2 linked regions of the Bombyx mori genome follow. The protein of the gene in region 2 purifies or fractionates together with the protein of the main gene of each other region. This does not show direct contact. Links are inferred from orthologs where the notes say so. Each region holds a gene or a part of one and is shown on either strand. Other genes may lie near its edges.

Region 1 (15,931 bases), on a different chromosome or scaffold from region 2:
AGGTGCTGCGGCGCTGGGGGCGCTGGTCCCGCTGGCGGCCGGGGCACACTGCGCCGCTCGCACCGCGCCGCCTCCCCGACACAGACACTCGCACCAGCCGCACCCTCACGCCGCCGCCTACAGACCCTACCACAAATTCATCGGTATGTACTCTACCACTGTACTATAAATAACTTTCACTGTTAATAAGGTGAAAACGTAAAAACAAAATCAAAAATAAAATTTGCTGTCTTACTGCTAAAACCAATTTTATCGGACCATCATCGGATGCATAAAAATCAATAGATTTGATGTTCGATACGTCATTATCATTAAAATATATATATACGAAATATATACGATCATTAAAATATAGGAATTAGATATAAATGACAGAAAAAAAGAATAATTCTTATTACATATTTATTTACGCAACCCTTTGCCACAGTAACCGTAACTATACTGAGACCTTAGAACTTATATCTCAAGGTGGGTGGCGCATTTGCGTTGTAAATGTCTATGGGTTCCAGTAACCACTTAACACCAGGTGGGCTGTGAGTTCGTCCACACATTTAAGCAATAAAAAATTAAAAGACAGTCGTTTCCCTAATCATTACTTATGCTTCATGTAAATTAAAAAAAAAAATACATGTGTGCAATTCACACTTGGTAGAAGTGAAACCTTCCAAAATTAAAATACAATTATCCTAAACGTCTTAAGTATATGTAAAATTTTGTCATTAGTAAATAATTGTAAGGTAGCGCCCTCTGTGAATTGATATTTTAATTTCACATATAATCCTAAATTAAAATTCACTACAAGAGCTTTCATACACACGTTAGTATTAAAAATTCTCAGATGGCGCTGTATTAAATAGTATGTATATTTCTGTCTCATTCATCCTACACATTTTTGTATTTGTGTCTCTTACCTGTCGTTTTTTCCGTTGCATCCGGTTTGAAATCACAACGATTCTAAAGAAGTTTTCACTTCAAAAATACACAACTATTGAGGTAGAATATATGAAGGTATCGTTTCCGCAGACACGTGCTGTCGCGTCGCTCGGAGCCAGCGCTGCATGTCGGAGCAACTGGTGCTGCTGTCGGCGCTGTGCGCGCTGGAGGCCGTGCCGCTCCGGTTCAACTACTTCGCCGCCTTCTGGAGAGACGTCGCCTCCACGCCGGTACGTATACTTGTAGACATCGGGACAAAACTATCGGATGTGCTCCACCACTAATATGCTTGAATCGTGGCTTAAATGATAAGACCCCTGGTGCATTTGCATCAAGCGATGCCACGGTGTTCGAATCCCTCAATTTAATTACACGATATTATTTCATCATCGCATTAGTTGTTCGTGAATAGTAAGTAGGAAGTATTTTATAAGAAAAAAGAAACAAAAATGTATGATAGTACATTACGCACCGAGGGAGAAAAGTAGGACATTCACGCCCGCGAATCGCGGATTGACATGTTCTACTTTTTTTTTCCTGCCTATGCTGATAGCCTTGAGAGGCTATGTCAGCTTACCCTAGCGTGTGTAGGTGAGCTCACGGGGCCAGAAATCGGTTTTAAAAATAATAATAAATAATAATAAAAAATCGGTTAAAATAAAAATCTGGATTCTTATCCTCAAGACCACGACGACTTCAAAATTGATCAAGTTCTACATATTTACCGATATAATAAGTAAATTTTTGAGTTCGTATTTTCAGGCCGATGCGAAGTTAGAAGAGATGTTATTGGAGTGCAGCGTGTTGAATGAATATATTGACGCGATAATACTCGACGAGCGGGAGTCTTTAGAAGACATCGTTATTTACGAGTTCATGCAACTGTACCTGCCTAAGGTGAGAGTCACGTTGAGTACAGTGCAACATTACAATCATTTTAAATAATTCGACGTCTTAAGATTACTAAACAATTCTCTTTTCGTGTTTATTTGTATTTGAGCTAATTCACTTCATTTCGTTTCCGAAGAGTGTTGGTTTTTTTTTTCGTAGGATAGAAGCGTCACTGGAATATAGTAATTTAAGTTTAGAAGGTTTAGAAGTTGTATTTTTTTTTTATCTATACTAATATTATAAAGCTGAAGAGCTTGTTTGTTTGAACGCGCTAATCTCAGGAACTGCTGGTCCGATTTGAAAAGTTATTTGAGTGTTAGATAGCCCATTTATTCAGGAAGGCTATGTGCTATATAACATCACGCTAAGACCAATACAAACGGAACACCAATAAAGAGTGTTTCAAAATCGGGTTTTTTTCCCTTTTGAGAGCTTCCGCTGTAGAAACGGTTAAAGCTTTGCTAAAATAATGTGTGCCAGAATTGTTCCCCTTTAAAAGATCTAAAAAAAAGTCCGCGTCAACATATGTCTATATGTTAAGGTTGGCTCACTATAACGTTTTTAATGCTAACCAAATTCGTTTTTAAGTAAAGCATTATTTGTGAACTATATTCCACGCGGACGAAGTCGCGGTCAAAAGCTAGTTAATTATAATTATATATATTTAAGAATCCTAGTACAAATAAGCGTTAAGATTTATAGTTAAATAAAAAGAAAACGTATGAAAGCAAGTCGTGTATGCAGGCCCGCGACCCGGGATGCATCGGCGTCGCGGAGTCGCTGGCGGAGGAGCTGCGCGGGTCGGACGCGTGCTCGGGCGGCGTGCTGGGCTGCGTGCGCGCGCTCGTGCTGCTCGTGCCGCGCGCCCGCCCCGCGCCGCCCGCCGCGCGACACATGCTGCGCGCCGCGCTGCTCGCCCAGCAGCGGCTGCAGCACGCCCCGCCGCCCGGTACGTACCTCCACCGACACGCCTCAATGCTCCTCCACATCTTAACTGGTGGCAGGACCTCTTGTGAGTCCGCGCGGGTAGGTACCACCGCCCTGCCTATTTCTGTCGTGAAGCAGTATAATGCGTTTCGGTTTGAAGGGTGGGGCAGCCGTTGTAACTATACTTGAGACCTTAAAACTTATATCTCAAGGTGGGTGGCGCATTTACGTTGTAGATTTCTATGGGCTCCAGTAACCTCTTAAAACCAGGTGGGCTGTGAGCTCGTCCACCCATATAAGCAATAAGAAAAAGAAAAAAAAAACTGTTCATGATCTTGGAAAACAATCGACAGCTGTTCTTTAACATTACTTCATTTGTTTCATTCGTTTCAATAAAGGCCAGTTTGGATCTAATTTAAGTAAAAAAATCTTGATGAATAATAAACCGGTTTTTTTTATTGCTTAGATGAGTGGACGAGTTCGCAGCCCACCTGGTGTTAAGTGGTTACTGGAGCCCATAGACATTCACAACGTAAATGCACCACCCACCTTGAGATATAATTTCTAGGTTCTTCTCGATCGTCGATGATGCAGTAAAGTAATTCCGTTCTCCTTCAGCTATTACTTCCAAATCATCGTATCTTAAATCCCATCTATTTCTATATGCAATCAGTTAATTTCTAAACCATCTTAGTTTCTATCTGGGGTTCTCCTGGTGGTACATACTGCTGGCCCGTGCAAATGTGTAACTTACTTCTGCACAATTCGATAAGTATATCGTTATAGGGCATGACAACTGTTGTACTAAAGCTATTGAGTTCAACCTAACTAACTATATTCGTATATAAATGACAAAGTTTTCAACGATCGTTGAAAGGTAAAAAACATTTTGCGATCTACAGAGGAGGAAGAATCGGAACCTGAAACGAGCAGGGAGTGTCCGCCCGAGACGGTCGCGTGCCACACGCCGGAGGGCAGCGACGCAGAGGACGCGGAGGAAGCGGGCTTCGATCCCGAAGACGATCCCGACGACGAGCCCGCGACGCCGACCGGCCCGCCCCGCCCCTCGCACTACCGCGCCCAGCTCGCGCTCGCCCTCAACACACTCGTCGACATGCTGCACCACATGCTGGGGGAAGGATAGGGTACCGTTCGACTGTATCGCGAAATCGATCCTCTTCACGTTCGGTGAAAATCGATTCGGGCGCCGTCAGGTCTGTGCGAGGCGAGTGCGGGCGCCCTATCCGTCTTCGGTTCAGTGACGTGTACATTAAACTGGCAAAGTGATCGCCCTACGGAGTCATAGATGTCGATTGTGATATTGAACTTCGTTATCGAGTTCGTGATTTTGTTTTAAATTCAATCGGAAATGACATAATTAAATAGTGATGTGATAAAAAAAATCGATTTATGGAATGCTCTTTAGAGACCGAAAAACTTTTGGATTACTGATCGTCATGCAAATATAATATTCTTCTTGTATTAATTAGCTTTGTGCGTTGTGCAGTAACTTATTTCTAATCAAACTCTAATTTACGTATAATATATTCTGTTCAATGTGTGATACAAAGGAAAAATGGTTTCAGAATACTGAAATTAGATAAGATTAAATTTTATTTATTTAAGATGTTTAAAGTCGATTTGATGTTAATTTTGGTGTTGCTAGGTAAAAAACTATGTTGATATAAAATTACATAACAAAATTAGCTCAAAACTCATTTTAATAAACGTTTGGAAGTGTTGGTTAATGTTAAAAACTAAATAAATGGATCTTGATTTTGTGTCTTGTGCACGAATATAATATTGTATGTTTGAACTGTATTTTAAAAGTACTTACTTATCTAAGATTGATCTTAGATTGCATAGAAAATCAAATTAAATAAAAAGTTAAATATCAAATTGTACATTCCAAATTTAAATGAAACCTCCCTTTTAATAACTGTTAGTAGCACAAGGGTAAGAGTCACAGTGTTTTTGTATTTTATTATTTATTTCTGTTGGTCCTTTTCGACTATGCTTTGGCAACTGCCTCGCGACATGTATGCTAAATAAGTAAATTAGATTTCCTTATATCTTCTTCTTCTCTGTCGTTTCCTCATTGCTGAGGGTCGTGACTTATATACATAGTGATGAAAAAAAACATTCACTATCTCGTATGTGAACTGTTTAGATAAATGAAGCATATACTATTGTACTTTCTGTTGTTTCAGTTCTGTATTCTTATGTATACAGAAGACTATTTAGTGTATTGACATATTTGTTTTGGCAGCATATTAATTAGATTTAAAATTTAATAATTATTCAAGTTTCAAAAAACATGTTTAATTAAGATTCTTGTACAATACTTCGGATTATGTTGTGGAAGTATTAAATGACAAATCTTAATCAATTCTGATCATTTGTACACTGTGTAGCTTTTACAACTACCACCGCACTTTTTAAATTCTATGGGGTCCATTTAATACCTAATTTGCGGGGTTTCAACACATCACGCATTTTTTCTGCTCGAATTGAAATGACTGGAATAAAAATAAATAAATTTGAAACCCTGCAATTTATGCTGTTAATTTGACACCAAAAACTATTTTAAGGACAATGATTTTTTATTTAGTTTTTTTTTTGCATTTCTAAATTACTGATTTGCTTTATTGTGTTGTGAAAGACTGTCCCTCATAATATTAAATGACTATAGGTTTTATAATGTTATGAATTTAGTGAAATTGGTAAGCAGTTATGTATAATCTTTAGAGAGAAATGAAAAATTCGTTTAGGCTGTGAAAGTTGTAATTTCAGTTTGTGAAAATTTGGGTCAAAAATTACAAATGAAACCCTTCGAACCAACCCTGTTTATGTAAGTCTGACTAGTAGATCATATCGTAAGTGTTATAATTGAGTCTCTCCCGTCCAAGGCGTGTACTTTGTTTTTTTTTTCTGGATCAATTTGGCCAGTACATATTATATTGTACGTCGAATCTTTATTGAAGCTTATGGTTATTGTTTCAAATTCGTTTTGAAAACTTTGGTTAGTAAGCAATCAATGCACTACTCAAATAGTAGCATTCACTTTTCTCAAATTTTTGAATTTATGATCAAGAATTCATGTATAGAAATTTAGTGAAATAATGTATATATTGACTATCATAGAATGCAAAAACGTGTCCATTTTATATCTTTATAGTAACACAATGCAAAAAACTAATATTTGGTTTTGCATTCGCAAATATACCTGTAGTACTTTTAAGCGTTGTTTGTTTCTCATTCAGTAGATTAATTGTGTAATGTTTTTCGAACATTTATATGAAAATATGATTACCCCCATATAGCTACCAATAAACATTCGTGCACCAACTAAACGAAAAAGTAATAACAGAGAAAAGAAAACGAATTAAAGCAGTTTTAGAAGTTTCAATTTTTATATTCATTTGCATATAATTAATATTGGTGAACATCTGAATCTATTTTATATTGTACCGGTAGGCGTTTGTTACGAGATGAAGCAGTCACTGTACAAGTTGTGAAAGTAATGAATGTATTGTGGTGCTATCAATCTGAATGGAGTGACTGATGATATAAGACAAAATCTATATTTAATTTTGTCCTAATTTAGAGCTTATTAATATATACCTACATTTTAATATAACTATGCTATAATTATCTTTATTTTCTAAATTCGTTGTATGTACTGCAGCATGGCGCGATGGTGAGGGACGGTGGGCGTGCACTGTTCCCCTCTCGTTTTTAAACTTCTGTATCATAATTAAATTTATGTAGTGAAACAGATTGTCTCAGTTATGTAACTGTTACTTATGATTTGTGGAAAAATTAAGAAAATACTGTAAATCGGATTGGAAAGCCAAAGTAAACAGTATTTTGTAGCCATTGTTTTATTTAATGTTTGATAGTTCAAAATTGAATTTGCACAGCATCAACTGTGATAAACCTTTATATTTGTCAGGAACATTAGAATGCATTGGGAGTAAACTTCGATCGACTTGGAAAAGAATAGTAACTGTGGTAGGTATAAACCTCAGTAGGCACCACCTTACACAACTTACCTTTTCTGTGACAAAGCAATCGAGCATTTCAGATGAAGGGGTGGTACAGCCGTTATATTGTACATTTTAAATGTACTCATGTCTCAGGGAGCATAAATGCATACAAAAGGTGATTTTATGAATTCTGGTAATCACTTAACCACAGAAATTACCATCTAAGCAGGTCATGATTCCTGTTACCTGTCTAGTAAATAAAAAATAAGCCAATGGTTCTTTGTGTGAAAATAAAACAAAATCATAATTTCCTCTTTGGCATTGCACTTTATTCTTAATTTCAATAGGAAAGCTATCAACGTTTTGATATGCACAATCCAAACAATATGTTTTGTGGTAAAAAATACTACAGTTTTTACTTATGCACACAGATTTTTCACAGATATTACAATCTGCTCCAAGCACTAATATTTCACCTTTACCCGGAGGACTGAATGGATCCTTCATTACATAACTTGGATATTTTAAGACAATATTACGGGAGAATGGAGGATTAGTGCCTTTGTAATGGGCTTTTTCATTTATATTGCATGATGAACATTTGAATTCATGAAGGACTTGTACGGATTCTTCTGTGGGTTTTTCTTTCTGGTCTGTCATTGTTACTGGAAAATATTATGCACATTAAAATAATCTATATAACTATTAGAAATAACTTGTTGTAGAGTTGCATTTAAATTGTGATTACTCATTATTCAGCCTTTACAACAGTTGCTTTGTCTTTTGGTGCTTCCATAGGCCACCAAGTAGGTTTTAATACTTCTGCAGTGTAACTTCCAATTACTAATGATTTTGCTTCTAAAGCTTCCTTTACCCTAATTAGACCCAGTCCATAATTTTGTATGTAACCTTTTAATTTTCCTATAGTTGATTTAGGATTCTCACTAGCATTTATTGTAGAATCTTTATCTAAGCCGTCCACTGCCTGTGTAAACTTAATTGGCATTATTCTTTTCCTTACAACTCCTGTATGATGAACTCGTGCTGTCAGTTCTTGTCCAATATAACAACCCTTGTGGAAGCTAACACCATGAAGATAGTCACAGTTCACTTCCAAAGGAAAGGTTACTCCAGGCGGTAAATCTTCAGATCCTTCACTTACACCCAACTTATACCTGAGACACTTGTATCCCTCTTCACTATTCTTAATTTGAATATCTTTTGTGGGAATTTTTATTAATTCAGAATGTGTTATTGACATTGGTGATATAATCCTCATCCCAAGTTCAGGCAATCTAGGGTCTTTATATATATTAACATTGTGTGTTGGAGTAACTACACCAATATTCACATTTGGTACTAAAGCATGTATTTTGTACTCGTTGCTCAAATCAGTTATTTCCACTAGTCTCTTTAATTTGTACATTTTTAAATGTTTCTGTATGTGACTAATAACATTTTTATCACATTCTAGAAGGAACGAATCGTCAGTATTCCATTTATGAATCAAAACATCGTAGAGTACCCTGCCCTTGGTATTTAAAAACATAGCATAAATCGACGATGCACCTTCCTCGAAATGTCTCATGTCATTAGTAATAAGACCTTGTAGGTATACACCGGCATCTTTTCCAGCGATATTTAATAACTTTCGACTTTCTAATGGGTAAAGAATAGGATTTTCGACGTGTGAGTATCGCGAGAATTGCTTCTGTAACGATTTAGTAAATAAAAACTTCTTTACCTGATGTAACATTTCGGTTGGAAATTTTATCTAAACACACCATGAAGTCATTTAGTCATTTGAAATGGGTTCCTGATTTTGCAATGCTTTGACTATTTCCGACAAAATCAAATTTTTATGAATTAAATTTTACAACAAATTCATAATTTATTTGACAGTTTTGACACATTTTTTTATGGGATTATGACCTGGTAACTAAGACTTTTAGGTCAAGCCATTTTAATGAAAACTTTTATGTGAAAAATGATATTATGAAATGAAATGAGGTTGATTAATATGAAACATGATATGACATGAAATGAAATGAAATGAGATGATATGGAGTGAGATATAATCTTAGCAAAATGATGGTCATTTACTGAAACTTTTCAGTGAATTTTTTGAAGGATTCCGAGAAATTACGTTCAGCGGCTTTGTTTCATTTTGCAACATTTGTGCACTTTCACATATACTAAACAGTTAATAAACGACCGTTATTACACATTAAACCTGAAGATACACTAAGTAGACAAAATAAAACAATTTGTACAACTTCGCCCCACGTTCCCGCCAAAAAGTGCACTTGACAAGAAAATTTTAGAATTGACTTAACCTTTTTATAGGCCAAAGGATCAACCTCATTCGGTGTTATCGTCTGTAAGAAAGTATAATTTTCACTTTTATTATAATAGAAAAATGGTGAATGGTCAAACACATCATAATGGAGAGATAGAAATTTCTCTATGATCATCGTATATTCACTTTGCGGTAGATAGAAATAGGCAAGATACTCTAACTTTTTCAAATTTTATTTTTATCGCAGGATATTATGGCCTCTTCGTGGAGATTGTGCATTTAACGTAGATTGCCAATCGCATCCATATAAAGTACACTCAATAGTCGCATCACTTGATATGAATACATTAGGCGTCCTGTCGGCTAGACTACGAAATGTTTATAGGTGAATTGGTGAATAGGATTACAAATCAAATAAGGAAGGAAAATATGTATTCCATGTGTATAAATTTATTTATTAGTCACAATAGAGAAAATCTTACAATGAAAAACAATTTGTAAAAATAAATGCGAAAATTACAAAATCGTAAATTAAACTGAACTTATAAAGTAATTGTAATACTGGCTCTTATAGGCCCATTTAATGTTCTTTGTCAATTTAAAAAACTCCAATTATTGTATTAAAATACAAGAAACGCAAATTTGACCATTTGAATTTGAGCACAGATTTTTAATATTATTACAAAATTAATATTTTTATTTCAAAACGAACCAATCAAAGACTAATAATTTACATGTCACAATTTACCGTTCTTGGCTTCAGAAATGAGACACTATTTTCCGCATGTTTTTAAATTTTACATTTTATTAAATCTCTGATTTGTTTTAAATTGCGTGGGTAGGCAACAACGTTACCTTACAACATCACAAAATCCCCATAACAAATACACCTACTTTAGGTGCTTCATAAATTTTGCAACTATAATGCTTTCTTATCACCATGCTTAATCCGTGGGCGGCGTCGTCCAAACACAATTACAACACAGAAAGACTGAGCGTCTTCTAGAAGCTAGTGACGAAATTGATGGAAGAAAATCGAATTATTTAAAACAAAACGAAAGAAATCTAAGCTTCCTTAGTTTTTCATGTAGATATGACAATATATGCAAAATTTCAATTTAAATGGCAAATAAAGAAGCTTAGCAGTAAATTATCAATGAGATTGCCACAGTTTTTTAAATCCGTAATAACATTTTTATATGCAATACTGTCGACTGATAGTTCGCAGTGCGAAGCTTGGGAGAATATACTTTGCGTTGGATGATGCTCTTTGATTATAAAATTGATTAAGACTTAGGAAGTAAATTCAATTGAATCAAACACGACACTGAATATAAATCTGACACTTAGATCTAATTTAGGTTGATACCTACCACTGGACCACGATATGGCGTTAAGTTATGTTTGTACGTATATTTTATCAAATAAATATACGTAGGTAGAATAATAGGAGATAAACAAAAAACCAGTCTATACATTTTATGTACGTCTGAAGCTGAAATCAACCATTTACATTAAAATAATTTACTTCTCTTTTCGTTCTTCGGGATTGTGAGTCATTTCTATTAAGTCTGTGTTGTATGACGTCCTCTGGGGTGTTGTTACAAGAGATGCAGGTACGGATTCCTGTTCTAATGAAACCGTAACGAGCTCAGTGGTGGCAGTTGGTTCGGATTTCGCTGACACGTTATCGCGCTTGTTCGGCGAACTATTCGATGAACGCGAATGCCTTGAAGCTCTTCTCAAATAAGGAGTGATTTTCTATTAAAGAGAAATATTCTTAATATCACAAAATAAGAACGATAATCTATATAATTCGATGCTTGATAGGCAAACATGACTAAGCGACAATGCGTGAACTTTACAGTAGACTAATTTAAAGTTGAAATACTTGAAAAAAAATCTATTTTAACGAATCTAGCTGTAGGATTGAAATTATTTTAATAGACCTAGAAAAAATTTTTTTTTTGTGCCTCGAATATTGTTATTGCCTATCATTTATGTAAAAAGCAGTTAAATTGTCGCTTAGTCACGTTTGCCTTTCAAGCGTCGAATAGATAAATGAATTGCTGTTCGTTAGTCTCGCTAAAACTCGAGAACGGCTGGACCGATTTGACTAAAATGGTTTTGGTCTTGAATTACTTGTGGAAGTCCAGAGAAGGTTTAAAAGGTAGATAAATATGAAAATGCTCGGAATTAGATAAAAATACCAATTTTGTTTTTCCTTCAATGTGTCCCCCGTCGGACGGATTTCTTTTGTTTGTTTTAAGTTTATTTTATACAAAAGCTTAGGTATTTTATTTATCGATTGAGGCACTACGAAATCTGCCGGGTCAGCTAGTAACCATTAAAATTTCGTGACGTATAAAAAAATACAATTAGGTACGCTGGACGGCTTACGTTTTGTGGATCCCTTTTAAGGTACACGCTGGTTTTCTTGACTTGAAAATCGGGAGCGGCTAGGCAGCGTGCGAACAGTAAAGCGGTGGCGCAGGCCCAGCTGGCCCACACGGCAGCGCTGGCTGCACGTGTCGTCGCCGCTCTGCCGCTAAAACTCCACGTCGCTTCCCAACTTCGCTCTATATGTTCGTTCACAGATGAACAGCTGTCACACAACAAAAGTTGTAGCATCCTTCTTTAAAGGACTTCGAATTAGGAACATACGAAGGCTGCCCCACCTTTCAAATCGAAACGCATTACTGCTTCATGGCAGAAATAGGCAGGGTGGTGGTACCTACCCGCGCAGACTCACAAGAGGTCCTAGCACCAGTAAAAAGATAGAACTTAAATAGGCAAATAAGTTATTTTATTAAAACGATCCAATGACCGAGAAGTTATAGTAGCTCAAAGTAGCTATGTGTAGTATGTGGTGTATTTGGGTCATCTGACTAATAGACTTTTTACTGGTGGTAAGACCTCTTGTGAGTCCGCACGGATAGGTACCACCACCCTGCCTATTTCTGACGTGAAGCAGTAATGCGTTTCGGTTTGAAGGCGGGGCAGCCGTTGTAACTATACTATATCTCACTCACTAACTATATCTCAAGGTGTGTGGCGCATTTACGTTGTAGATGTCTATGGGCTCCAGTAACCACTTAACACCAGGTGGGCTGTGAGCCCGTCCACACATCCAAGCAATAAAAAAAAAAGATATACTTCTAAGGTCTCAGTATAGTCACAACGGCTGCCCCACCCTTCAAACCGAAACGCATTACTGCTTCACGGCAGAAATAGGTGGAGCGGTGGTACCTACCCGTGCGGACTCACAAGAGATCCTACCACCAGTAATTTTGCGGGTTTGATTTTTATTGCACGATGTTATTCCTTCACCGTGGAAGTCACTCGTGAACGTTTGTATGGATTCCAGTAACCACTTAATCGGGTAAGCCATGGCTTGTTTGCTCAAAAGGCAATATCATATAATTGCTGTCAAATCCAGAATCGAATACTTTTTAAATTTTGAAAATAGTATCTACACAAGCACTCACTTAGTCGAATTGGTGATATCGAAAAATGCTTCACAGAACGCGTGTAGGCCCTTGTTCGTCATGGTAAAACTATAGCCAGTGAGACCTGCCATTACTAGCGAAAATAACAAGGCTGGCATTAATATACGCCACGGCTGCTGGAGACTGCAAATATAGAAAATGAAGTTTGTGTTAAATCATATATTTGAGAAAACATTGTGCTTAGTGCGAGTTATTTAATTTTCCTTTGTTTTCCGCTAGGGGCGCTTTTCCAACTCCATACGAATTTAACTTTTACACGATCGAGAAAGTAAAAAAACAGATACATATATACTTTGAATCAATTCAATGCACAGTCGTGTAGTTAATCTATACATATAAATAAAATTGGAGTATCTGTTTGTAATATTGTAATTACCGCTTTTTACTACATGCGTATGAATATATATACGGTCATACACCAAAATAACATTTTTCACAATTTTTGTATGTCTGTCTGTCTGTCTGTCTGTCTGTTTGTTCCGACTAATCTCTGGAATGGCTGGACCGATTTTGACGGGACTTTCACTGGACTAGATTCGTCCCGCGGCGTGACCCGCGGTACGACAATAACCGCGTGTAACATCGCGGGACTCAGCTAGTAATGCAATATGTTCAATTTGTGCTTATAATTGTTTAAATAAATGAATTTGTGTGTGTTAACAGTGTGGACATTAATTTATAATATTATTAGATTTTATCTCACCCAGTTCGAGCATAGCCTCCGCCCGGACAGATTGTGAACATAACAATCCACGTAATTGCGAAAACAGTTGACAATACAGGCATATACTCGGCATACTGGCAGTCATTGTCTTTTCCGAACAAAGACCTAGAAGTGTCCAGTACTATTCGACGAGTTGAGTTACCTTAAAAATTGATTAGTTTCAGGTCAGGAGTATCGCTAGGTTTAAATGTTATGTATTATAATAATAATAATAATAATAATAATAAAGCCTTTTATTTCCCATCACCTAAGTATTACATGTAAATATTCTTAATATATATCGTAATATGATTTTTACATTTTGATCTATTTTCAGTTTTGTTTATTTGATTTGCGTACATCAAACTTTTTCTTCGATAGGAACCCCTATTTGGGTATAGGCCTCCTCCAGCTTAATCCAATTTTTTTTGTTCTTAGCTCTTTTCATCCATTATTTTCTTCTTTTGTTTTAGCTATCCCTATCTTGGCATTGAAGTTTCCCACTAACAGGACATTTTCACTAGCTTGCGCTTGCGCTTCTTGTAGTGATTCGTAAAATTTTATCGATTTTTCTTTAGAATCCTTTTCAGTTGGTGCATACACTTGATTTATTGATTGATATTACCATTCTGTTGAACTCCAGTTGAGGTATTGCAACTCTTTAAGATAAGCCTAAGAAGCTTACTAAATTTAAAAATCCTACTTTACGCATGCCAGGTGCTTCTCCTTTAAAGCAGAATATAAAGTCTTGATGCTCTTCGATGCCACTGCCCATCCGTCTAACTTCAACTAAGCCTAATATTTTTCTAGTGGGTATACTAGTTCTATGTATCTTGTTATGGATGCTAACGATTTTACATTAAATGTTCCAATTTGTATTGATTTTTGAGGTACTGTTTTGCTTACTGGAGGGTTATGGTCATTTTCCCCCACGGGGACCAGCCGGCTTGGGGGAATGTTTTTCTTGGTTGTTTTTTGCAGGTTTGTATTATAATGATTGTTATTATTCCGGTTTCGAGTGTATGGTGATCGCTATACATTGGTTTTCTCTCTTAATGAGTTTGATTTTACGCGTGCCATGTATTCGTACGCATTAGTTGTGTTGACTTTCTTCGGAGCTACGTACAATTCATTTTCTTTTCGTGGTGTGCTGACATTGGGCGAAGAAGATGGGTCTCTTTTCCTTTTTTCTCGATTAGCATCCGTTTGGCTCTTGATTATTAGTTTATCTAATTTTAAGTATGCTATGTTACCCCTCCTTCGTTCCTCTTCAAGTTTTGGTTGTAATGTTTTGCGTGCTTCTAATATTTCTTTAGTATAATCTTCCTTCACATAAATACCCTGGGGTAGTTTATTTTTGGACCTCATTATTTCCATTTTTCTCCAGTACGATACAAGGGATATTAAAATAGGTCGAGGCGTAGTTTTTATCTTTCCAATTCTATAGATATTCATAATTTCGTGCTCTTGTATGCTTAATCCTAGATGACAATTAAGTTTTTCAGATATGTATTTTACCAAACTTAACCCTTCTTGTTTGTCTTCCTTTATTCCAAAGAGTAGTATGTTAGTTTTCTTTTTAGCCATTTCCAGACCTTTAATTTTCTCCTTAAGTTCTTTGACTGAATTTTTAAGTTGTTTGTTTTCGTCGTCTATCATTTTAAATCGTTCATCAATTTGTTGCACTACATTTTTAGTTACAGCTTCTGTTATAGCGATAGTCTGTTGTTTCATTTGCTCTTGAATTTTTTCTAATAATATTTGCATTTGATTATCCATTTTTCAGTGAAAATTTTTGTTTTACGATTTTTCGTAGATCGTTTTAAGATGATTCTGGTATAATTTTAAAGTAGATCTGGCAACCCCGATTATATCGATATAGTTTCTGAAAGTTGCCTAGCTTGAATGTAAATTGTCGAATTGTCTGTGGCTTAAACTGTGACTTACTTCACTCTGTATTTATCAAAATAAATACCCTCAAAATAAAATATAAAAATAATAATCTCAAGAGGTTATTTTTTCATTTCTCATAAATAGGTTGCACATTAACACTGTTCACAAACTTTCTTGTTTATTTTTATATAAAGTATCTTCTATTATCTTGAATTGTGACTTTTTACACTTGATATATTTGAGTATTAAGGTAAAACTTAATATTATTTTAAGAGCAAACGAGTACACGTCTTTATTATTCTGTCACCGGAAGCGGAAAAATGTTATGTATTACCTATGTATTATTATTTGTTATTATATATTATGCAACTTTAAATATTGTGTGAATTCTGTAAGAGACTACATAATAAATGTTATAAGAAATTGAAAGACGGAGACTAAATGTTTTGAGGCTTATTATCTTGACTAAAATTAATAGTGAGAATATAAAATAAATCGTCAAATTTTACAAACTATTTCTTTTCATACATTCTTAATGTAAAGGGCCTATTTATATTAAAGTATAGTCTACTCTATCGGGTTATTAATTAAAAGACCCGAGAGTGGGCCACCTTTCGAGTTCTGCCACATCCACATCACCGATCCGTAATATCCTCAATTTATATTATTCCGCAAGATACTTTTCTCCCTCTAGTTCCAACATAAAATAAGATAATGTAATGCGACTTCAACATCCATTTCACTTCTACGATAAATGAAAAACAATCAAGTCAGTAGTAGGTACACG
Region 2 (16,638 bases):
GCATCATGATACGCTTGTGCCGATGTTTTGATACCTTTTTCACAAAAGTATGGCTCAGTCACTCCTTCATAGTAATACCCCACCAAACCATCACTGAAGTCGGATAGTGCCCACCTTGCACTCTGTCGACTAATTGGGAAGCTTCCTTAGAACTTTGAGCATAAATACGGTCATTTTGTTTGTTAAAATGTTGCTCAATTGTACTTTGCGTACCGCTTCAGTAGTTGTTTCGATTTTACCACCCTATTCTCTTTTAAATTATCAGTTTAGAAATGACCAGTACGTTTCTTATAGGCTGCAAGTCCTAAGTCATCTTTTAAAATACGCGACATGGTTCTAGGTGCTATCTTCATCTCCCGAGATAAAATCTTTTGTTTTCGGACAGGATTTCTTCGAATTCTTTCCCTTACTGCTTTGACCACCTTTTTCGTACGAACACTACGTGGACGGCCATATCTTTTTGTGTCACAAATAGAGCTGGTCTCATTGCACCTATTAATAGCCCGGTACACAAACATTTTACTAATACCAAGCGTATGGAGAGTTTTAAAAATTGTATTTGGCTCCATACCTACTTTGTGTAATGCAATCACAGCGATTCGGTTCTCTTTATCACCCCACTCCATTTTAATATCGCAAAATATTGTACAATGTATTGGCGCCCAAATGAAAAAACTCAATGAGCAATCATATAACAATTGCAGATTCCAAATTCAAATGTAATATTTTGTTTATTTTTAATTATAACAGTATTTATGGCCAGACTAAGTACTAACAAGCCGATTTTTCGTGAGAAGCTTCGTTTTGACTAGACGCCCAACTTTTTTCCTTACAGTAACTTTGGTAAGTGGTAGCTTACTAAGGGTAGCAAGGATAAAATATGTTGATTTCACGAATTTAAAAAATTTATTACTAACCGAATTTTTCTTTGTTAATTATCGGGATAATAATCTAAACAACGTGAAAAAATATTTGTTCTACAAAATATAAGGTTTTGTTAGGGAGTCCTAGGGAATAATTTGAATAGTAATCTGTGCTGCAAAATAATAATGGAGTGCCTTTTGTGTAATTTGTTAAAAAATAATAATATAGATATGTGGCTTTCTTGTAAGACTTTTTTATCTGCACGAAAGCATTATAAACACATTGTGGTGTTGTATTTCCTGAAAGTTGGAGTAATGAAATAATAGGTTATCATTCCTCTTGTTACAAGGAATTTAGAGTAAATTTAATGTTTTTATGTTTATATATATATATTTCATTTCATTTTGTATACTCAAAAATTACTAATCTTGTAGGACTAATAAAGCATACTTTTTTTTTGTAGGACATTGTTTTATTTGGACGTAAAATATATTAACCTATCACGTGACACCTTTGTCCTACAGTTACTAATAAAAAAAAAACCTGCGGTATTGACAACTTTTGAGCGTAGGACCAAGATGACATACCATGCAATTTGTAGGACAATGTGGGTGGTAAACAATGCAAATTTTAGCAAACCATTTAAAAAAAATCAGCTGGTTAGTAATTATTTTTTATTACCTTGTTTATGATAGATGTTAGAGAGGGGGACTCCCTATCAAAACCTTATATTTTGTAGGACAAATATTTTTTGATGTTATTTAGATAATTAACAAAGAAAAATGCGGTTAATAATATTTTTTTAAATTTCGTGAAATCAACATATTTTATTCTTCTACCCCTGGTAAGCTACCATTTACCAACGTTACTGTAAGGAAAAAAGTTGGGCGTCTAGTCAAAAGGAAGCTACTCACGAAAAATCAGCTTGTTAGTAATAAATGATGAAAAGTGTACCAGGGATCCTGTACTATCAGTTTAATTGATGTGTCTTGATGTCTGTCTCTGGATACCGAAACCGTTTAACCGTCGAAAATCTTTCGATTTTAATATGTTTTTTTTTTATTAAGAAAATCCTGGTGTAAATTTCCGATAAGTCGTGGGTCAGAAAAACGTTAATTGAAATGTTGCTGTGAACCACCAATGATTTCACAAACAAATACCTGATATGAAAAGGATGTGTACCTATTTGGCAGGCAGCGACTTCGCTATGCTCTTGGCATTGCTGACTTCCATGAGCGACGGTAACCACTTGCCATCAGCAATGAAAAAAATTAAAGGCTTATGGTAAATATTATTCTGAAAACAGTATTAAAGAATATATCTGTGAACTCTTCCACGGCTGGTGGGACGATAGTAAAGAAAAGAAAAGAGTAAACAGGCAGAATCACAGAGCGAACCGTTACCCCACGATCTATAGAGAGGTCTATGTCTACAAGAGAAGGTTATTGTCACTTCGTAACAAGGTGACAGTTCACAAAATTTGACATGACATTTCGTTATGACCTATGCAAGTGTAATATCCACTCATGCGGCTCGCATGCACATAAATTCTCTCCAGGTCATCCAATCCCGTTTCTGCAGAAATACCGTCAGAGCACCGTGGTACGTGACGAAAGTCGACCTTCACAACTATCTAAATGCAGAACCGGTACGTAAGTATCTTAAGGTAATGTCAGAACGCTACTTGGACAAAGCGGCGCGACACGATAACCCTCTTATAGTGGCTGCCGCTAATGTCTTGTCGCATCCACCGGATCCTCGTCGAGCTCGTGGATCACGTCCAAGAGTTCGACGAGCGAACTAACTCAACTAACCTAACTGAGTTTCTTGGAACTTCTCAGTGGGTCGCGATTCCAATGCGTCGATAGATTCTGAGAAGCTCTTGCCAGGTCTAGTGTTATCAAATTCTCTCAGTTTGAGCCCGTGAGCTCACCTACCCGTCCATGCCAAACTGGAATAACCCTTTAGGCTATCAGTGATTAAGTAGGTAGTAATAGTAGGACAAAAAAAGACGGAACCGAAGTCCGCCCGCAGGTCCAGAGGTTCCAACTGGTCAACTTCGTGTCTGAACAACAAGCACTTTTTAAAGAGGTCGTGGCTTAAAGAATAAACGCTCGATATATTCGTTTCAAGAGATGGAACTGTACCGGTGGTCAAAACCTTCTGTGATGAAGGAATTATATCGTGACTTTATAAATCAAATACGCAAAATTTATAAATTTGCATAATTATACCTGTGGCATGGCTTATAGCTAGCTCGACCACCATCCTGTCTATTTCTTCTTAGAGGCGATAATGTGTTGTCTTGGAGGGTAAGAGAGCTACCAACATACTACTCGTACATACTCGTAATTTAGATTTCAACCCCATTTCTCACGTGGGCGGCGGCATTCATGTTGTACGGTCTACAAGCTCTGGTATCCAATTAACGGTAACTCATCAAGGCCAGAAAAATAAAGTATTACCTAGTTGCTTCGAATGAACTCCACAGATTTCGTCCGTAGGGATTGTTGAAAATTATAATCTCAGAGCTGATTTGGAAAATCTCGGTCTATGGAGAAAGATTTACATTGATGCTGAGGCAGTGGCTTTACTGCTCCATCAGCAAACCTAATGTCCGCATGCGAAGCGTTCACACTTACTATCAGGTAGGCTGGAAGTGGTCATCCATTTATTAAGACAAGCTAAAGGAGGAGGAGTAAGCCAAACATTTTAAAACTCATCCGTATTTAAAAAAAAAACGAATTCGAATCGAACTTGGTAGGCAGCGGCTTGGCTCTGCTCCTGGCATTGCTGAAGTCCATGGGCGACGGTAACCACACAAAGGCAATAAAAAAAATTAACATTTTTTCGAAGTTCCCATTCTAAAATGCAGCCATTTTGAAGGCATGAAGGAAAAAGTCCACAATAATGATCATGGCAACGAAAACATTGACTCATAATTATAAGCTAAATCTCATGTAAGTTATTGGACGCCTCCAGAAGCTCATCTGATGTGGATGGCGATAACAAAATGAAACCCGAGACGCTATGCTAGTTATTACTTAACTGAGTGGCAGATTATTTTGCAATAATTTCAATAACATTAAGGTTTCAAATTTTCTGATACTAGCAGATTATGCATGAGCGATATGCATAATATCTCCCGGAATGCCACAGATATCCTTACATAATCCCCTTTTTCCAAAATTTAAATGAAGCCGTTAATTCCAGTACTTCCAAAATAATAATATGTAGGTACTTCAATATATTGATTGCATGAAATGTGAAAACTTAGAAACAAAATGTTATTGTATTTTTTATCATATTTTTCTTTTAAGGCCCATAAATTTCGACTAACTTTGACTAAGCTTCGACTAAATCTTTAATTTCCACTATCTAACAATTTTTTTATGTTAGCATAACACAGACTTGAACTTTCTGCGTTGCTACAACTAAATTCATTGACTAGCAGCGAGATTTTGTATTTCTACCGCCAGCGAAAACCTTTCCGACTATTTGTATTTATCCAAATTAACAAAGTGTAATCGTTGTAAGGCGAAACAGGGCAGGTACGTATATCGTTGAGTATATGTGGTAGTCCTGGTAGGTCATATTGTGAGCTAGAATCAACAACTATCGCCATTTTATCTTTTTTCCCCCGAAGAAGAATAATAACGAATCAATGTAATCAAACAAAAGGGTCTAAAGGTTTCGAATACTGTAGCTTTTTACATATTTCTATGTGAGGTTAGTAGATATTGCATATTTGCTGTACTTTTAAATAAACAAGTTTTAATAGTAAATATTTAGGTAAATGATAATTATGTTTTTTTTCTTTCAGATATTTATAATTATTTGTCCCATTATATACAACGCATAGAGTGAATAAATCACAAACGCTAAATTAAAATGTGTGTTACAAGATTGTCTTTGAAACAGACTAGTATGGCCAGACTGTATGCAATACCGGTCACTCACATACGCACGAATACGCAAATCCGCAAGTGTAGGACGACATTTGCAAATGATTATGCAAAGTTTTCGCTGCATTCGTGGTTTTCCAAGCTGTGTCGGTTTTTTAACAGACATCAAAGCGCGCGAACCGCGATCCTTCGCGTAGTCTCCCACACATTCGTGTGACCAGTTGCGCCCAGGATTGCGAAGGCAACGGACGTTTCGCTATTTTCATAGATCGTGACGTCTACTGTGTAGCGTATCTTCATCAAAAGAAATCCCATAAAAACAGCATCGCTGTTAATGATATCCGGGAAAGACTTCAAAACTCTTTTACTCTTCAATGTTCTATTGACGAATTAAAAAGGAGGAGAAATTCGTGAGACATTGTAAAAACGGGTTCGCAAATTGAGTACCGAACCCATTTGCACAGCCGCTAAGTTTGCGAATGAATATTTGACGGCCCTTCACATGCGCGCAAACATTCGTACAATGTACGAATATTTGCGCGCATGTCAGTGGCCGGCATTAGTGTATAATTTGGGCGAACATCGATCTTTTCTTTCAAATTTACATTGAAGTTTCATTTTCGGAACCCATTTCATTTTTCAGCTCAAAAGCTTTTGTCGTGCAACGTTAAAGATTGGCTATTTTACCTTTGTTTATTAAACTACGCAAAACAAACAAAAACACAATTAACACCAGCGTGGTTAACACTCTTTTTTTATCTACCTTTATGCTAGTAATCTAGACTATTTTGGTTTTACCCTTACTGGCACTTCGTAGAAGTTAAACCTTCAGAAGTATTTATCGTGCCAGAACGCAGAAACAAACGAGACTGAGAATTTTTCAAAGCTTGGGTTTGTTACAAAAAGATTCCAGATTAATTCGAGGCCCGAGGTCGTGTAGGTTAACGTTCCTCACGAACCACGGAGCTCCTTACGGATGGCTTACTTGCAAAAGCGGGATTGTTGGGATTGGAGGGTGTCTATGTGCGTGCGGGCCGCGTGAGCGAACACCACATTCGCGTAACGCATAGATTATACACTTAATATAGCGTAACGGTCGCGGACTGTCATACAGTATCTATGAAAGCGAATAAATGGATACAATGAAATGGAGTCCTAGGGCGTGTCTTCTTGGGTTCTTTGGCTTATTTATTTTCTATTTCTATTTTAGATCATCAAGGTGTTGATACATTTTTGTTACAATTTGTATTTTACAGCCATGGATTTAACCTAAAAAACTTTACACGTATAGCGTTTGTTTCTTTTGCTTACATAAATTAGAAAAACATGTTTTGTTTTCTTTAATAGGGGTGTCAATTCTTTTCGAAAAATTTCGAACTTAAAAATCGATTCGATACTCTATCGAACCACATAAAAAATCGAGGTCTAAAACTTCGATTATTCAAGAAGCGGTTTTTTTCAGTTTGCATTCAGCTGGCAGTGACCCTGACTGCGCCGAGGGTTATGGGTTCGATTCCCACATCGGGCTAACATTAGTGTGATGAAAGGTTTATTGCCTGAGTGTTTATTATTTATATATCTATATTTTTAAACATATATAAGTATATATATCACTCTCTGATACCCATAGCACAGATAATCCCAATCTGGGGCCAGATGTCCCCTGCGTCATTTGTTCCCAGTTATTAATTATTTATTCCATCTGATCGTGCGGTGTATGGAGTATATAAATAAATAATTTACCAAATATGAAGACAGAAATGCAATTATCGCTTTCAGAGGAATAGTCACTAAAGGACTATTGTGTTTACCACAAGAACTAATGTTTAATTAATAGGAGAAAAATATAATAGAGATGAGATTGCTATGGATGTAGAATTGGAAAGTTCATCATTGAAAATAGTGCTAGTTCCAGAAAATTATGTGCGGTTTTTTTTATTGAGCTGCCAATTGGTTGCTTTTTTTAAGTTCTTATGTGGGTGTACGAGCCCACGGCCCACCTGGTGTTAAGTGGTTGCCGTAGTCCATAGACATCAACAACATAAATACCATCATCCACTTTGAGACATGAGTTTCGAATTTTAATTTTTATAGTACAATTGCTGCCCTACCCTTCAAACCGAAACTTAATACTGCGTCACGGCAGAAACAGGCAGAGTAGTGTCATTCACCCATGGGGGCTCACGAACAAGTACGTAAATTATAATTTTTGCGCATTAGATTTTTATTACACGATTAAAAATCGATCTTATTTGGCCAAAAATCAATGTCGGATCGGCCTCCGTAATTCTCGAAAATTTTCGGTACAAGCAAAGCGCAAGTCTACATAATATGTCATTGTCAATGTCAATTGTGGTACACCTATGTACATAGATTATACACTTCCTATGTATGTCTCAAGTATCTTTATGTAGGCTGTGACTAGAATAGAATTAAATAATAAACTTAGTTAAAGCACTGGAAGATATTTTTCTAGAATACGAAAGAAAATGTTTTTACGTTTTAGAAATTTACACCAGTTAAAAAAGTTTGTTAATGTAAACACATTAAACAAAAGATTCTCCCAAGAACCAGCAACTTCTGTTTCAAGTACAGATATCAGTATTAGTGACAATTGTGTACAAAAATTAAAAGAATTATGTAAAGAAAACGATACCTTTCTGAGGCTTTGTGTAGAAAGTGGTGGATGCTCTGGATTCCAGTATAAATTCAACTTAGACAATGTTGTTGATAGTGATGACAGGTATGTATTAGAGCAAAATATCGAAGTACTCTGCTATACAACTCACTTTTGATTGCATAAGATAGTGGCAGAATAAAAAGAATAAGAAAAGAGCTGTAACAAAACTCGTGGAAAGAATATTCAGTGCTATTATTTTAGAAATTAAGAAGCATTCTTGTCAAATATATAATATCATTTTTCAAACTCATTTTTCATTCTGTATAATAATAATAATGAATATTATATTGTAATATTATTCTTCATTTCTTTATCAATGTAGAAGACATTGTGTTTTCTTAATGGTCTAAATGAGAGACTTCAATCAGTCTGGACTAAATTCCTATATCCCAAAAATATACACAAGTACAACAAAAGTTACTAATATTATGATAACTTAATTAGGAAAATCAGGACCTTTTATTAGCAACAAATTTTTATCAAAGTAATTGCTTAGTCTTGATTGGTTAAATTCTCCTGCATTGGAGTTAAAATAATAGCAACTAATCAAACACTATGAAAACAAATAAATAACCTTTAAGAATAAAACTATACATTTTAAAAGAGAAAAATTCTATGAAAATAGTGCTGGACTTGTGGTATACTAGCTGTTACTTGCAATGCTTTGCTGTTTTTTTGTGTAATATGAAACTTATACTTTTAATAACCAATTATGTATTACAATCTTTTATATAATAATAATTTATTTATTAACCTTGAAAACATTTACACATAACAGTTTGCTAAAAACTCTTCACACTAGGCACTGCCTGTCTCATGGAGAGTTTTTAGATGAAAGGCCCAGGATTGAGTCGTGTGTAGTGCCATGGGAGATGCCTAAGTCCAACAGTGGAGTAAATAGGCTGCAAATGAAGTACTTATACAATCCAACTTCTTTGTCTCTCTCTCTCTCTCTCTCTCTCTCTCTAATATATATATAATAATTATATAAATAAGTATATAATTATATGAAGCATACAAACCATACTTGTAATATATTATAAATAGAATTTGCTTCTTAACCTTGCACATCTATACCAAATAATTTGATCTTTGATGAGACTGATCATAAAATTTGGAATGTAGATTATCAATGATACAGAAAAGCACAGAGAATACTGTCCGTTCAGAACAAGAAGCTGTTCTAGGGATATGTGATTTCTATTTATAGATTATAATTTCTTTTATTGCCCTTGTAGGTATACAAGCATACAGCCCACTTGATAGTGAATGGTTACCGTCACTCATGATCATCACTAATGCCAGGGGCAGAGCCAAGCCGCCGCCTATAATGCATGAAGCAGAGTGTAAAAGTTAGTAAAGAATAAATTGTTCATTATGTATCCATTCATTTATATTATAAATAAAATTAGTGTTAAAATAATTTTTTTCAATAATTGCCAATTTAATTTTTTTTGGGTTCTGAGCAAACATTTAGAGTATATTTTATGCTTGATTTGGTAAGCCAATACATCATAATTATTTTTTATGATCATCTTAATATTTTTATATGAATTTTTATGAAAGGAAAAAGAGTATAAAAAGCCGATACATCTTTTAGTATACTTTATTATAACATTCTCATTTTGTTGCTACTCTAATACAAAACCCTATAACCCTATTAACCCTATTACATACCACACCCTTGCCCCTTTTGCTTTAATATTCGTTTTTTTTGTCAATATTTTCTCTTGTTGAAAAATTATTTTAACGATGGAAACCGATGCATTAGCAGTAGTGACTTTTTAATAATGAGGACATCAAGATAGCTAGACGTAAAATGATTGGCTTCATTGGACATGACAGCCTAAAAAAAAATGCATTAATTTTTAGGGGCATTATGAAATGATGAATTTTTAATCTTCAAATTTACTTGAACTTTATTTTGTTATGTTTTTTTTTATAAGTTCAAGATATTCCAGTTGACGTTGTTTAAATATCAATCTCGTAATTTCTGAACTGAAAAAAAATACTACTATTCATTACTACATTTGCCAAAGTTAACATTTTTGCCAAAGGGCCTAAGGAATTTAAGGTTATGCTATTTAGTAATTCAATGTTTTTGTAATTGCATTGAATATGTACGGAAGCTCGCATTATTGTTTTAAGGAAATAGATGAAACAAAACTTCATTGACTAACCAAGTTTTTTTTTCAGGATATTTGAAAAAAATGGTGTCAAAGTGGTGGTTGATGAGACGTCACTTGAGTATATTAAAGGTTCAACAATAGATTATCACACTGAACTTATTAGGTCTGCTTTCCGAGTGCAACAGAACCCAAATGCAGATATAGGTTGCTCTTGCGGTGCTAGTTTTTCTATAAAAATTGATTGAAATGGCCATATTAAACCACTGTAAATTTTTTATGCAATTATGGAAAATAATTTAGTTAAGAAATGAATGATTAGATAGATTATAATATGTGTTTTAATAATACTTAGTAATTAAACTGTAAAAACAATCTACTTAAAGAGTTTAATGATTTGAAAATACCTAAATCTCTTTTAGTTAAAGACAAATATGTTTCAGTGACCATTATCAAGGAGCAGGGCTCTCAATTACCAGTCATTTTCATGTGATAACAAACAAGAGCTGACAGATTGTGAACAATTATTAAATAATGAATAGTTCAGAATCTTAGTGATAAAGCTCTTTGAAATTTGTTCCATACAGAGTGGTTTGAGAAACTCTTCCAGATGATCTCGTAAATTTTTACAATCCGCCGTCGGAGTAGAATTTGTTGTTACCGTGAAAAACACTGTTTGGTTTGGACTGAGAATGAAATCCCGTCGTTATTTCTAAAGTCTCTAGTGGTAGATAGCGGCTGACATGTGTTTCTTATATTGCTAATATCCACAGAGGATGTTGGGCGCTCACCATTAGGTGGGCACCTTGGAAATAAAAAAACCGTGTATTTAAATTTTATATACAATAAAATCCTCCAAAATCGCATGGCGCTATGGTGGACCTTTTGACAAATCCAAATATCCAGAGGAGGAGGAGAGGCCTTACAGGCGCTTTGGATTAATCGAGGGTGGACACGTAAACGATCTATTTACAACGACCATACATTCTAATATAAAAAATATATATTTAAAAATGTTATTTTATTTCATATTAAGAAAGAAAAAACAAAATTGTCAATGAGACTGAGATACATTGATTGCGGCCCAAACGTTGTCTAGTTTCGGCGACGGCAGAGTTATCATGGGTTCGTTCTTAGAGGAATTCACAGGCAATCTGAAATTATTCAAATAAAATTATATTTATATTATTGAAGAGTATTGTAATTTACCCATTAAACGTATGTATTTGTAATATGCGTACTATATACACAGTTACATCTGGATGCACATAAACAAAGAACGGATGTGAATTGGTCACGGCGGAACCCACGCTCGGGGCTTGCTCCACATGAGAGCGCCGTTCTTTTTCCGTACCAAGCCATCGTCAAGCCGGGATAGAATCTCGCCTGAAATCTGGTTGTGCCCGTATACCGGTTTGGGGACCAGCAAAGCAGACCCAAGAAGACGACGTGTTAAGGTCCTTATCATACTAGCGGTTTGCGAGCGCATGCAGGGCCGAGCATATCCGCCGCGAATACACCGTGAAGACTCGGCGGCTGCTCAGTGAGGACATCGCGGCGTCGCCGACCCGTGGTAGATACGCAACGTTTTCGTCGCGTATTTGTAGCGAGTTAACGTCGTACAATACACTCAGTAACAAAACTTGTTACTTCGAAGATGCCGAAGACGAAAACGAAAGCATAGACGAATTTGGGAGGATCCATTATCAGTTAAATCGAATGGAAGAGAGCGAGTACTTTGTTATGAGTTATTGCACCTGATACTGACTGAAGTGAGGCGGGTGGACGGGCTGGCGTTTGTACGAGACGATAAAAAATGGCGTCTACGCTGCTATTCGCGACGATCTCCTTGCGCGTCCGTAACGAATTCGCTGCGCATACGCGGCGTGTTCGTTGCGCGCCCGCTGCTTTGAGAACGCTCGCAATCCGCTATATAGTATGATAACGCCCTAAGAGTGACGGATGACCGCACTCTCCGATGCATGTTGGTTCTGACCCAGTGGAGTATCCAGGAGTTATGTGTTCGCGGCGATGTCTAAGCGGGCTTCGGATTGCCTGCCGACCGAGATGCTCATTGGTCATTCGGCCTGTGGGAGTAGAATTTGCGCGATCCTTACTCCCGCCCAGTCTCGGTTGAGTTTTGTCTCATCTGATGCAGATTGTTGAGCGACAAGAGGTTTTATTCCCGTTCAATTTAACGTATGCCGCTTAGTCCCTGCAATCTATAAGCGGAGGGCCGGCGATTTCTTCCGGACCCAAAAAATTAAGAAGTGTATGTATCTAGCAAGAAATCTAAAAAAATGTAGTTTCAAAAAAAACGTGCTAGGACTCACTGCTGAAAATCCCCAGAAGAAACGAAGGCGTCATTGACTTTTTTCACATTGTGCGGCGAATAACGGTTGTACTTTCCCCAGATACTATTCATGAATTTGCTGTTATACTTTACAGGTAATTCAACATCTGAAATTATTTTAACGATTATTACTTACATTAAATAACTAACTACCAGTAATACGCCTATTATCTTAATATAAATTAATATTTTTGATTATTCAATACTGAAGTCGTTGTGGCCTAAAGGATAATCTCGAATCCCACAAGCAGTGAGCTTAGTGTCAGTTTTTTAACGTTCTCGATAGCGTAAAAGTTAACTCAAATCTGTAGGTACCTATGCAGTTGGAACAGCGCCCCTAGTGGCAATTGTAGGCAAACGTATATTTCTGCCGTGAAAGAGTAATAAGTTTCGGTAGTACCAAAAAACTTAGACTGACTCGGAATTCGTGTAACAAGGCGGATGGTGGCGTGTAAGTTTTTGATGTCTATGGATTCCGGTAATGGGTTGGGTAATTCCGGTGGGTTGTCAGCTCGTCTACCCATCTAAGCAATAAAAAAACACGTGGTGCTCTCAACAATATCGGACAGTGTTCAAACTGAAAGTCTCATTTGGTACTTAAATCTAATATGAGCTACACTTTTTTAGAGCCTGCCATGAGCACATGAGCTTACCTGTTAAGTGGTTACCGGATCCACTGTTTTGTAGCGGTTATCAGATCCAAAGATATCTTAAAGCTAATACTGCCACCCTTGTAGAGAAATAGGGTGAAAGTCGCAACATTAACCTGCCCTTCGAACCGAATTAACCATCAGAAAAGGCATAAGTATTATAAGAGAATTTGAATTAATAGAAAGCTGGGTAGGTGATTTTTTCTTCAAGTATTGCCACCTCATTCTTGTTTATAATAAATCTGTTGACGACCGTTCACTCCTAGGCTTGAATCACAAACGGGATGTAAAAACATAAGAAAAGTAAATTTTTGGCCTTAGCCTAATAAAATCGAATAATTTGCTAAAAACAATGGAATTTAAGTTTTTTTATTTTATTTATGATATCTGTGAACCTGTAACATGCTTTCATATCTATTTACCATTTCTATAAACAGTCTCATTAAATTTATGTAACTTATTTATTCAACAACAACTCACTTGTGAAACTGAAATATTTGTCAGGTTTCTTGCCCATATCAACATTGGGCATCTTCAAGTCACGATTTTCACGTTGAGTTTCACGGATACGCCCAGCCGTAAAAGCGGATGGCGGAATGCAAGACATTTTCTTCAGTTCACAGGCTGGAAAGGAAATTAGGATATTTCTCAGAACAGGATCTTATATTTAGAGAACGGTGTTAGGGCGTATCTTGGAAAGATACCTAATGTAGAAGCCGGGGATTCTAATTTCCATTTGCGGGAACCATTTTGCTTAAAACTTAGTTACTATTAAAGTACTTACTTTATAATTAATGATTAATGCATGAGTGTTGTGTACTGATGGTATTTACATTTTAACTGATACATTGATCTTAACATACACACTCAGCAGAAAAGAAACGGCAACAGCGTATTATCCCAACGGGCTGAAACTACATACCGAGTACATTGATATTTTTTTTAGATTCTGCTGAAATTCATTCGAAAACGTGCTTGAAGAGTTTCAGCAAGCTAACTTAACCATCTACGAGAAGTAAATTCATAGCAATATGGTAAAGTGGGAGGGGAGTAATGTTGCGAGATCTTTTACCGAATAAAAGAAACCCGGCATAAATATGAATCGCGATAATACCAAGAATTTACACTCGCTCGGTACACTTTATATTATAAGGAATTAGGTTAAAAATACATTTTAAATGGTCTAAGTAGGTATATTATGTTGTTTGCCAAATAATGCATTGCAAAATAACTGTACGAAAATTGGCAATATAAATAATTCTTAGTATTTAAAAAAACAAAAAGTAATAGCTATGGGGTTATTCTTTTGTGTGTAGTAAGCTAGGCTTTACCGGACACGACATTAAACAATATTTTTACTACCGAATTACTTCGAATTTGGACTATATTTTGACAAAGAACTGAAAATGTTGCGTCAATATTAATTAATACGCTGGCTGGTTAACATGTTTTAATCATTGGCAATAGTAAAAGCCTCAGTGTTTTTCTAAAGTATTTTTTAAAATAATTTAGGAACAATATGAACTTTAGATTAATATATAGATTGTTCGCCATATTTAGAATGTGTTATCGTGTTTATAATATACCTTTACACAGTTCGAAGATTAACTTGCTCAGTGTCACAGTTTTCTTTTGTGCAATGATGAGCTCAAAACTATTGGAGTCTTCGCAAACGCTGCGGTACGTGCAACGAAATTTTCTTGGATTCAGCAGCACCATGAATTACACGGACCAAAGAGAACGACTATTACAGTAGGCAATAGAGTAACTACTGACAAGATGGCTGCTCAGTATGAGTTCACGACCCCAATGTCCAGTTATCAGTTTCCAGCGACGAGAAGGCGACGTAATGTTTCAAATACACAAATATGATAAGTTGTTGGTCCTAAAGTTCGAACATACGCACAGGTGGCTGTGATTAAATATTGTTTTAAGCTTTGATCATAACACATAGCAACAAACATAGCTCTAAAAATATTAAAAATCCTATTTAAACGAGCATTTACGACTAATGCTAAGAAACAAACCCGATGTCGTAACGTCATGTTAAAAGTAGCAAAAAATTATATTCACACAATATGTCGTCACTGTCAGCCAAATCATTCATTTTGTTTGTTTGTTTTATATAAGTGGACGAGCTCCCGACCCGCCTAGTGTTAAGTGGTTACCTGAGCCCATAATCACCAACAACGTAAAAGCCGCCAGTCACCGTGAGACCTGAGTTTTAAGTTACCGTTTTTACAGTACAACGGCTGCTCAGCCCCCCAAACCGAAACGCATTACTGCATATTAGAAATAGGCACGATAGTGTTACCTACCCGTGCAGGCTCACAAGATACCCTACCACCAGTAAAAAACGGTGTAGGCCTTTTGTCAGAATAATGCTCTTTATTCTGAGCGACATATTATTATGTTGTACATTCTCGTATGACTATAACGTAATATATACGTAGTTATTTTATAATAACCTGTCCCCACCTACTACACTACACTACGCACACACACACACACACTACACCTGCCTACACTACCTATACACTGTCCGTAGCGCGCTTTGGGATTGTTTTCTTTCCGTCCATGTTAGTCCACTAGTTCCGTTGATTTTTTTTATGATTGACAGCTTACTGGTGGCCCAGAGGCCTTTCCAGTTTCACAAGGACAGGTTGGCGAGCAAGGGCTCAGCCAGAAAGGGCGGGATTTGCTAACAGCTACCCGAGCGCCTCCAAGGGAGACCTAACAACTCAAGAGTAGCTGCTTCGCGAATGAATCTACTACCGGATCGGAATCGCGACCCGCTGAGAAGATCCGGCGAGAAACTCAACGGGCTGATGTTAAGGTTAGGTTGCACGTCGAACTCTTTGCCGAGTTCGACGAATACGGTTACCGGGGTCTCTCCTAGTGTTAGAGTGGAAGGCGTCTAATGCAAGGGTTATTGCATCTGATGGATCCGTAAGGATGTGGAGTTCCGTTGTTACAATAGCTGCTGCCGTAAGCAAAAATGGTATTGCTTTGGACTGGGAACGATTTATAGGGTTCTATATATACTTATAAGGAGATGCCATCCATAACAGACTTGGTAGACTTGGTTGGAGATAGAAATACTATTTACTTTCCATAAAACATGCCGTTGTCGCTTGTCCAAATTTATTTTCTCCATGCAGGTTCATTTGAATGGTTTAGATGATATGACCGTTCCATGCAAAATACACGTTTTACGTTATGTATCTTATTTCATTTGCAAATATCTGTCTATGTATATTATATAAGGCTGCTTACAAGAATAAAGACAAGAATACTTTACATAATAGCTTTCATAATCATGGTAATTAGGCGTCACCTGTGCTGGGTTATTTGTATTTTTAATTCAAAACCAACGAAACAGGTTGTATTGTAGGTACAGGTATAACTTGGTTCACTTTATGTAAATCATATTATATTGATATATTGGTCCGTTGCTATATGAAAAACGACACAACCAATCGCACATCGCTTAAATATATAATAATATGTATTAGGATATTATTATTTTTTTCCTACCTATGCTGATAGCCTACAGCGGCGAGATCAGCTTCTCCTTGACTTGACGTGTAGGTGAGCTCATAGGGCTCAAACCGGGAGTGTTGCTAACACTGGCCCTAGCAAGAGCAGTGCTTCGCAGAGTCTACCACCGGATCGGAAACGCAACTCACTGAGAAGATCCGGCGAGAAACTCAATGGGCTGTGTGTATGGGGGTATATTACGATATGGCATCCTTAATATAGTAGCAAGCATCGACCCATCTTTCTATATGGTACAATATACTTACAAATCCAACTAAGCCTTCAAATTACGGAAGACAAATCTTAAAGTTTGTTTATAAAATGATATAAGGAAAAAAACATTCGAGTGCACGTAATGTTTCCAATATATTTCGAAACTTAATTAGAATTACAAGAACGTCATAAGTATTTTTATTTAATAAGAAAAACAACATTTCATATTGCTAGCTGTGAGTTATTGAAGTAACTTAATTTTTATTTAAACTTATCATAATACGGACAAGCATTGACCTTTGTAACC

What was found.
Region 1: the proteins of uncharacterized protein LOC101736064 (region 2) and putative transferase CAF17 homolog, mitochondrial purify together in Homo sapiens (co-immunoprecipitation; 4 studies listed by BioGRID and IntAct, with this or other methods). This does not show direct contact. The link is inferred for Bombyx mori from reciprocal best matches to the Homo sapiens genes ISCA2 and IBA57.

Annotation. Positions count from the first base shown.
Region 1 is NC_085131.1:8,725,308-8,741,238, forward strand, and holds putative transferase CAF17 homolog, mitochondrial, read right to left. Parts: upstream 8,677-15,931; 5' UTR 8,497-8,676; coding exon 7,492-8,496; 3' UTR 7,489-7,491; intron 7,406-7,488; 3' UTR 7,045-7,405; downstream 1-7,044. Other genes in the region: ubiquitin carboxyl-terminal hydrolase puf, read left to right, coding at 1-143, 1,024-1,163, 1,696-1,830, 2,569-2,773, 3,654-3,895; uncharacterized protein LOC101745117, read right to left, coding at 10,564-10,800, 11,440-11,644, 12,528-12,671, 13,252-13,414. UniProt on the Homo sapiens protein: Mitochondrial protein involved in the maturation of mitochondrial [4Fe-4S]-proteins in the late stage of the iron-sulfur cluster assembly pathway. Operates in cooperation with ISCA2 in the maturation of [4Fe-4S] proteins.
Region 2 is NC_085109.1:8,396,613-8,413,250, forward strand, and holds uncharacterized protein LOC101736064, read left to right. Parts: upstream 1-7,110; 5' UTR 7,111-7,258; coding exon 7,259-7,512; intron 7,513-9,645; coding exon 9,646-9,823; 3' UTR 9,824-9,954; downstream 9,955-16,638. Other genes in the region: uncharacterized protein LOC101735939, read right to left, coding at 10,630-10,729, 11,909-12,035, 13,059-13,202, 14,165-14,297. UniProt on the Homo sapiens protein: Involved in the maturation of mitochondrial 4Fe-4S proteins functioning late in the iron-sulfur cluster assembly pathway. May be involved in the binding of an intermediate of Fe/S cluster assembly.